2 linked regions of the Arabidopsis thaliana genome follow. The protein of the gene in region 1 interacts with the protein of each later gene in a pairwise test. Each region holds a gene or a part of one and is shown on either strand. Other genes may lie near its edges. The genes, in order: ATC and FD.

Region 1 (4,355 bases):
TCTGGAAATTGAGGACAGCTTGGAGAAAGTGGTGAGTATACCAACATCCTTGGTACTTACAAACATTTATCCCAGTGGAATCTTTGTCTGAAGGTAGTGAAGAGATGAGAGTCTTTGTTTCTTCGCTTAAGTCATCGTTTCTCAAGTTGACCGCCATTTTTTTATCATCCATTACCAAAAATTGTGGTTTAGGACAGAAGCGGAATGAGATAAGAGGTCTCAACGAGCCTTCAGCATCTGAAACGGGAGCTTTGGTTCTAAAGCGAACAACACTTTGTAAATCATCATTATGATTGTGTTGTTGCAATACGCAACGTTTTCAATCAACACTTGTTTGTTTATTTGTCAATTGTTAACGTTTTCAATCGACACTTGTTTGTTTATTTGTCAATCGTTATGGACTTATGGTTGCTAGGATTTGTTGTCGTAGTTACGATTTAGTTGTAGAAAATTCGTATTTAACTTTGCGTTATTGACTTATAGTATCTTTTCTGCGTTAAGTAAAAGTATATCAAAACATGAATAAAATAATGAGTTTATAGGATTGATTTTCGATAACTTTATGAAAGTAATCAAAGCCGTCTTAGCTCAGTGGTAGAGCGCGTGGCTTTTAACCACGTGGCCGTGGGTTCGATCCCCACAGACGGCGATCATGGTAATTTGTCCAAACAAATTTTTGGTGCTTGCAGCCACCAATTACTTAAGGACGACTACCATTATACAACTATATCATAATTTTGAAAATAAGGAATATCAGGTATAATTACATTGATAATACTAAAAATTAACATCCATCAATATGAAAATAGACCATGCATGAGATTATAAGCCAAGTTTATTCAGATCACAAACAGTTCATAACAAATACACACATAAATATGATAGGAAAAGCTGTTTCCCGTAACTAAAATATAGAATGCATGGAACAACACATATTGTCCGGGCACAGCCAGAGTTAGTTAGGGCAGCTGCGGCAGCGGTGGAAAGTCATTCAACGGCGTCTAGCGGCGGTCTCACGCTGGCAGTTGAAGAAAACAGCCGCGACGGGGAGGCCAAGATCGTTCTCATGAGCAAACTCTCGAGTGTTGAATTGGTCTCTGTAAGATGGCACAGACACCACACTTCCTCTACGGGTCTGCTTGAACAACAAATACACAAAGCGGTGGATCCCTATGTTTGGCCGAGGCATCTCGTACCCGATTATCTCTTTACCTGTTTTGTATTCTCATATTAAAATCTTTGAACAGAAAATATACGTATATGAAATGTGATTTGTTATATCTAAGGATATATGTATAGGACTTACCAAATGATACATCAGTCGTCCCCGGGATATCGGTAACAATCCTGAGATTAGTCATTGCAAGAAAATGTTATGTATTTTTATTATATGTCTCTTAACATTTTTTATTTGCTTCTTTGGTAAATCTCTAACTTAACAAAATTTGAATGGAACAAAATTTACCAGTGCAAGTGCTCTCTCAGATAAGGATCACTAGGTCCAGGAACATCAGGATCAGTCATAACCTGTTTGAAATATTCGATATATGTGAATACACGTGACACATCCAATATACACAGATAAACATTATATAACACGTATGTATATCTGACACAAACTAGTTCGTTCTGCAAATTAATATTATATATATATAACTGCATAGTAGATAATATAAATAATTAAAATCTTATTTTTGTGTGTTTTACAGAAATATTCAAATAAGTCTAACAGTTAGAGAGGAAAAAAGTTTCTATTTATGGCATAAAGACGGGAAGAAAAAGACATTTAACGAAAAATAAAAATCACCTAGCTAAGTTATTTATGCATTTACTATATATATGATTTATATGACGATATAGGTCAATAAAGCAATGCGTACCAAAGTGAAGAATGATCTCATGTCACCCCCATGAACTTCAACCTTAGGTTTGTATGTAACTACAGAAGGGAAAAGTTCATGGCCATTGTAGACTTGCTTGTCAGAATTATAGGTCACCGTCATTTTCACTGCCTGCAAACAATTGTCCACAACGTCTCCGATCACTCTCCCAACCATAAGCGGGTCTGAGGAAATCCTGGCCATCTCGATTGCTTGGTTAAGAATTTAGACGAAGAAATGAAGAATAAGTGAAAGAAATTAAGGAAATAGTGTTTTGAGTTTGATATGAAAATGTGTGTGTTGGAATGGGGAGAGACAAGCTTGGGCTTGCTTTAGTTCTGCTTTGGGGGATATGTTTGTGTTGATTTGATGAAGCATAAAGTGAGAAGAACATGTATATTTATAGGGTTTAAGAGAAGAAATGGCTGTAATGCATTTGATTTGACGTTTAGATCCAAGGAATTTATTTATTTTCTTGTCAATAAGATGCTTCAGAGAGAATAAAAAAAAAGACGTTTCTTTAATCTAGGATCATACCTTACACAAAAAAATGAGAGTAGTTTTTTTTGGAGAGTTGGGTATTTCTGAACACTAATCAACTATCTGTTGTATTGGCCAAAATAAATTATTTTTGTATACATACGACATGATTCGATAAAAAAATATGTCTTTGAACCCTAGTAAGAATTTAGAAGTTAGCTTTTTTGTTAGGACACAATAAAAGATTGCTTTATAAAATAAAACATAATAATGGGCGTGATGGTAATTCAGTAAAATTATCGTCACTGAAGTCGTCATTTCAAATCTGATACTATTATTTTTTTTATAGTTGTTTTATAGGAAAACTCTTTCCTTTATGAAAATAAAAATTTAATTAGTCAGGTGGATAGATTAAAAACTTTATTTTATACATAAATTTATGTTAGAATGAAAGAACCTGGAAGTGTTATTACGGATTTACGGCCATGTTCTTCTCTAGCCATTATTTAAACAGAATGAACGCATTATAAATGGTGGCGTCGGGAATTTAGCTTTTTCTTTTTCTTTTTTCAGCAGAATTTCTACTTCTAGTACGTTAGGAGAAGTAGAGAACTAATATTTTATATTTATTTAAGAAAGCATCGCCATTCGTCGTAGGACTAGGACTCTAGGAGTATCTTTGCTAGAGAAAAAAGATAGGTGTCTTGTTTTCTTATGTCAATAGGTGGCCAAAGGGAAGACAACCTCGTTTTATCGATAGTTGTTTTCTAGTACCAGCTTAGGAATAATGCAAACTAAGATATTTCTTGCTTAAACCAAATCATTCCCGAAAAAATATCAGTTTTTGTAAAACATCAGTTTTCAGCTCTACAATATAGGTCTCTTCGTCTAGAATTCGATATGAATTTTTGTAGGTATCCTTCTTTAGCACTAACAAGGGAATTTGTGCGTTAAAATTATAATAAACCAATTTCGAACCTATGAGTGGATGAGAAGTGGCAGATTTTCCAATATGGTCCTTAAAAGTTAAAAATTCCTCAATTCCTTTTTGGACAGTATATATATAGAACATATAAATATATGCATACAATTTATTCAATTAACTTAGTCACCAGAGAAATGTTGGAAAAAAGAGATAACCTTTTTTTATTCCATGTGTTAGTGTCGACCATGAATCACAGCTTTGGTTGCTTTTATCGCCCCCTTGTTTTTTAATGTTAAAGAAAGAAAGATACAAATTTCAAGTGTCATTATTCTGTTTAAAATTCTAAACGTCGCTTTTGCAATAAGGGTAATATGAAACTTAATTATTTTCTTAAAAAGTAATAATATTGGAGTATGAGGAAAAGAAATATATTCTCTGTTAGGTGTGTGGATGTATTGCAAAGAATATATCCCAAAACAACTAATATTATTCTTGGACTTACCATTTTTGGAAATGTTAATGTTGGCGACCCACAACCCCAATGCGTTTCCAACACATTCAAAAGCTGACAGTTTGACAAATTGTGAAAGGTCACATCAACTTGACAAAGAGATTCATTTCCTCTGCCACTTTTGAATTATTTATATGTAATTTCTTTCCTTTTCCATAAAAAAAAACTATGAGGTAGAAAAACAAGATCTGGGTTTCCTCTTATAGAAACCCTGATTCCAACCTAACTGTCTTCAGATTACACGTTTCAAGTGTACTTTGCATGTGATCGTGATAATATTTTTAATTATTATTTTTTTATACTTTAGCATATGCTCCCACAACAATCTGTGACACTAACATTAATATTAAAAGCACAACATGTCAATCATATATACGGTCTTATTCGCAAGTCCTGTGATAGAACTTTTCTTCTCAGGTAGAGGAAACCAACCTTTCATTTGTTCCTTGAAACTGAAAAGTAAAAAAACAATCGAAATTAAAGCTCGTCAGTTACATCGTTTAATTAGAGCCGTTATTCGTGACTTATATATTAAGACAGCTATAGTTTATTGCAAACT
Region 2 (4,400 bases), on another chromosome or scaffold:
ACTATTCTTCTTTATCTTAATGTCCACTATATTTACACCATATTAGCTCTTGATGTCCACTTTTGGTTGCTTAAAAGAATACACAGCAATATATCAACAACCAAAAGTGGATCAACAAGACTTATCACTGTCAGGTAAATGAAATTGGGCCAAAAGAAGATAAAAACTATTCTCTTGATAAACCAAATGAATACAAACACACCTAGTGTTTTTGATGGTGACCAGTTAGAGCAAAAGCTACAATACTATGTACTATGAATATAAATAAAACGTGGGGAGTGACCATGCTGAATAAGAAACTTATCATGTTCTCTCTTGACCAACCCGAAAAGTGGTGAACTTAATTCCCATTGGCTTGGAGGTTTCAAAATCATATTGCAAGTTGTTGGCTTGTATGGTAGACAGCCAAAGGATTGGATATTTATGTGATAATGTGATAGGGAGAAAATTAAATGTTCAGTGATAGGTCCCCTTCTCACTTTTCTCTGGTATTGTCATCATTTAAGTGGAGCACTGTTTTGTCTATTGGTCATTTGATCCTTTGCTTCTTTTAAGAACCAAATTGGTTAAACAGTAAAACATAAGGTTTTTTTTCTTACTAGTATTAGAAGAGGAAGTAGAACATTACTACAACAAGAATACAAGTAGAAGTTAGTACAGAAGTGAAAAAAGGGTTTGCATAGGAAAACGACAGAACATTAAGAGAGGACCCAGGACAGGTGTTCCTGTGCCTTAGGAAATTGAAAGATCCTTTTCTCTTTCCGGGTCTTTTGTTTTACATCTTCTTTTTTCCCCTACAATATCTTAGTTCTACAATTTTAGGCTTAGTTATACTTATAGCTAATAAAAAAGGGTACAAACTTTTGCCATTTTTTCACTTCTTCATGAGACAATCTCAATCCCCAAAAGAGAAACAAGGACTTGTAGATTTCTCAAAATGGAGCTGTGGAAGACCGTTGAAGTGTGTTCTTTTTGGGTTGCTGAATTGCTGCAGCCATTTTTAACTGCACACACACACACACATAATAAACACACAACTGAAGTATCAGAATCTAACCACCCAAAATGTCATTGGACAAAAAAGTGTGTAAAACAAATATACTCCAGAGGCTGTCTGTCTGTCTCTTTTTATAAGTTGGTTAAACTACAAGGAATTGATCTAATGACATGAGTGCTACAAAAGGGTAAAACATTAAGAACTTGGCTCTGCTTGTTTACCTGATCTTGTTGTCTCTTGAGTCTTGCATTTTCTGCCTGCAAGTGAGCAACTTCAAGTTCTAACTCGTTTGTATAAGCCTGCAAATGAGAATCAAAACCAAGAGACCTTTTTTTAGATCAAAAGCAATTTGATGGCAAAACCACATTTCTTTTCTTCCCTTTTTGATACACATGAGTAGAAGAAGATTAGGAGGGAAGAGGAGAGGCACATTCCTGTTTCCTAGCGCGGGAACGAGCTGCAGATTCTCTGTTCTTGATCATACGCTTATGTCTTCTATTCCCTGAACCTTCATTGGAATCTTGGCCTCTTTTCTTACCAAAAGAACTGGATGGAACCAGAGCCTCGAAAGAGGTGTTGAAGGCATGAGCGTTTGAGAGGTGATGGTGGGTATGAAGATTAGAGTTTGAGGTAACAAGAGGATCTTGGTTATCGAGAAACTCGAAGCCAGCGCCGGAATTCAAGCTCAGAACAGTTGCAGGAGGTGGAAAAGGAGAGCTGTAAAGAACAGTGACCGTGGTGGAATCGCCATTAGGCGCAGAACCCGTGGTCTGGCTTGTGGGTGCTGGTTCCTGGTTCAAAGATCCTTTGAGAAAATCTTGGAAGATTGAGTTAGGGTTTTGGTTGTGGTGGTTTTGGCCCCTGAACCTTGGCTCGTGGTTGTGTTGTGGATGAGGGCTGTGTCGGTTTAGGTGGTGGATGGAAGCAAGGTTGATGTCATTCCAAACTTCTTCCATGGTGACAAGAGATCTCTTCTGGGCTTGAGAGTCTTGAGAAGGTAAAGGAGATGATGATGAGGTTGATGATGATGAAGAAGAAGACGATGGTGATGAGGATGAAATGGAAGAAACTTTGGTGAGAGTCTGGTTCTTGTTTGTAGCAGAGAGTCTATGGTTTCTCTGATGCTTAGCTGATGACAACATTGGAAAAGAGAACAGAAGTGAACCAACAACACAGCTTTAGTCTTTGGTTGTCAATTGTCTAGTAGTATCCTACACGCAGAGAGGGAGTAGAGAGAGAAAGTGGTGAGAGCTCAGAGAGAGGTTCTTGACTTTAGCCGGTCATTTCTGGAATGATGGGGTTGGGTCCAAGACTCCAGAAGAAGAGACAGAGGGATTGAACTATTTCCAATTAAATAATATATTTCAAGAAGAAGAAGAGAAATTCCATAAACTATTATATGTAATTAAAGGTGTTTGTTGATGTCTTCAACGTCAGAGTTATTATAAAGATTAAAAATGGTGTTTGATTATTTCAAAAGTGAAGTATTTTTCATCATCCTTAAATGTAAAGAGTGAGTGGGGGTGAGATGCTTGTAAAAAGCCAGGCAAATATATAAAATTATTTTTGGTTTTATCTCACTTTCTATTTTCTAATATCAAATCCCTTTGGATCACTTTCAACTTTCATGTGTGACTTTAATTTTTGTTCTTGCTCTTAGATTTAAGGAAAATTTGCCAAAATACACTTTTTTCCCCTAAGGGTATTGACGAAATAAAACATTAAAAACAAAATGAAAGTAGATAAGAATATATACATCTTTCTGTATTAGAAATAATTAAATAAATTCGTTTAAATATATAATAAAACACAAAATCCTAACTACTATACCAATAAACTCAAATGTAAAAATTTCTTCTGTTTTTTTTTTGTTTTTGGCAGCAAACATTAATTCCGTTAGAATATTTCATTCCTCTTTTCTTGATGTGGTTAATATATTTTAAACGAAGATAGAATAATATTATCGAATATAAAAAGTAGTACTTGGGTGTTCGTATATGTAATTTGTTTCTATCAAAACTAAAAGTCTGAAAATTATATGTTTGATTAGTACAAAAAAACTTTATTTTATATGAGATTCGGAGTGTTTAAGAACGGGTCATTTGCACTTAACGTTTTCTTAAATATGTAGTTGCAAACATTTCAAATAATATCGACCGTATAGTTGAAATGCATTTAAATAACAAAAATATTGTTAACTATTGAATTGTTCCCCACTTCAAATCATTGGTGTTCATGTCATCCAACGAGATTTGATCAAAGTGTCAATAGTCTGTTTTACAATACGGATAGGGAAATCAATTTATGTGGGTCTCCAACTCTGAACAAAACAAACATTACAAGTGGATAGTAAAGTATTAGATTTTATATGACCAATATAGTTTAGATATTTATGTTGATTGTTTTGAAGATTAGAGACGAATACTAAACTAGTTAATAATTAAGCCAAGTAGAAGATGATACATATTAATAAATCTTTGATCATACGTAATAAACAAATAATATGAGTACCATCCAGATATCTAGATATTCGATTATCGTATCTACTATGTAAGTCAGTCTCCAAGTGCATATCTAGTCACGCTTTTCAAATTTTTCCTTTATTGCAAGTTGATTATATATAAACTATAATAACATACGATATTTGTTTTTCTTTCCTCTTCTCTTATTCTATTCAACAAGATTAACTATTCATTTCCGTACATGTATATAATTTTTTTTCTCTGAATGTTGAAATCAGCCCTCAAGGAAACGTCCCATCTTTTGAACATGCAAAGAGTACTACATTAGGAGCTGTTTATCGAAAATGCAAGCTCCTCAAATACTCATATTTGTTAGAAGATATATATTTTCCATTTGTTGGTGAAAAGTACAAAGACTTTAATTTGTTTACATGTTTCCAAACATTGGGTTTCAAAATACATTTTGAGTTTTTAATGTGAAACACAAATTTCATAGATCTTTGTTGTCGTTTCGCAACCACCAAAAATTCGAATGTAAAGAGTAGTACTTTTGTTAGTATCGACGTCACTACGCATATTCATTGACGAAAATAAAACAAATTTTCCCAGTCTCAAATCATTTTTGCAAAATAAACTCAAAATAAAGTTGGGGTATAGTCTGTAACGAGTGAATTCAAATGTCCATTGTATCATAAAATTGTGCAGAGAACTTGTAAGTTGTATAAGAAAGGAGTGTGACATGTCACGTCTCAGGGGATTGGACAGGTGTCAGCACTATATTGCTCTGTCCCAAACTCCATCAAATCTATTTCTCTGTCTTTTAATATCCTCTTTAGTTTACTTTTAAACAATGCATATAAATGGAAACAAATTCTGTTTTAGCAAGTTATATAAAATTTTCCGGACTATCATACAACATGAAATATGCCTACCAAAAGTAG

What was found.
Region 2: the proteins of ATC (region 1) and FD interact in a protein complementation assay, tested with the Arabidopsis thaliana proteins (one study listed by BioGRID).

What each region holds. Positions count from the first base shown.
Region 1 is NC_003071.7:11,771,146-11,775,500, reverse strand, and holds ATC (centroradiali), read right to left. Parts: upstream 2,315-4,355; 5' UTR 2,085-2,314; coding exon 1,881-2,084; intron 1,528-1,880; coding exon 1,466-1,527; intron 1,348-1,465; coding exon 1,307-1,347; intron 1,213-1,306; coding exon 992-1,212; 3' UTR 755-991; downstream 1-754. Other genes in the region: AT2G27570 (P-loop containing nucleoside triphosphate hydrolases superfamily protein), read right to left, coding at 1-172. UniProt on the Arabidopsis thaliana protein: May form complexes with phosphorylated ligands by interfering with kinases and their effectors. Can substitute for TERMINAL FLOWER 1 (in vitro).
Region 2 is NC_003075.7:17,002,485-17,006,884, reverse strand, and holds FD (Basic-leucine zipper (bZIP) transcription factor family protein), read right to left. Parts: upstream 2,364-4,400; 5' UTR 2,140-2,363; coding exon 1,432-2,139; coding exon of another isoform or gene 1,405-1,431; exon of another isoform or gene 1,297-1,404; coding exon 1,219-1,296; intron 1,005-1,218; coding exon 933-1,004; 3' UTR 577-932; downstream 1-576. UniProt on the Arabidopsis thaliana protein: Transcription factor required for the transition to flowering promoted by FT.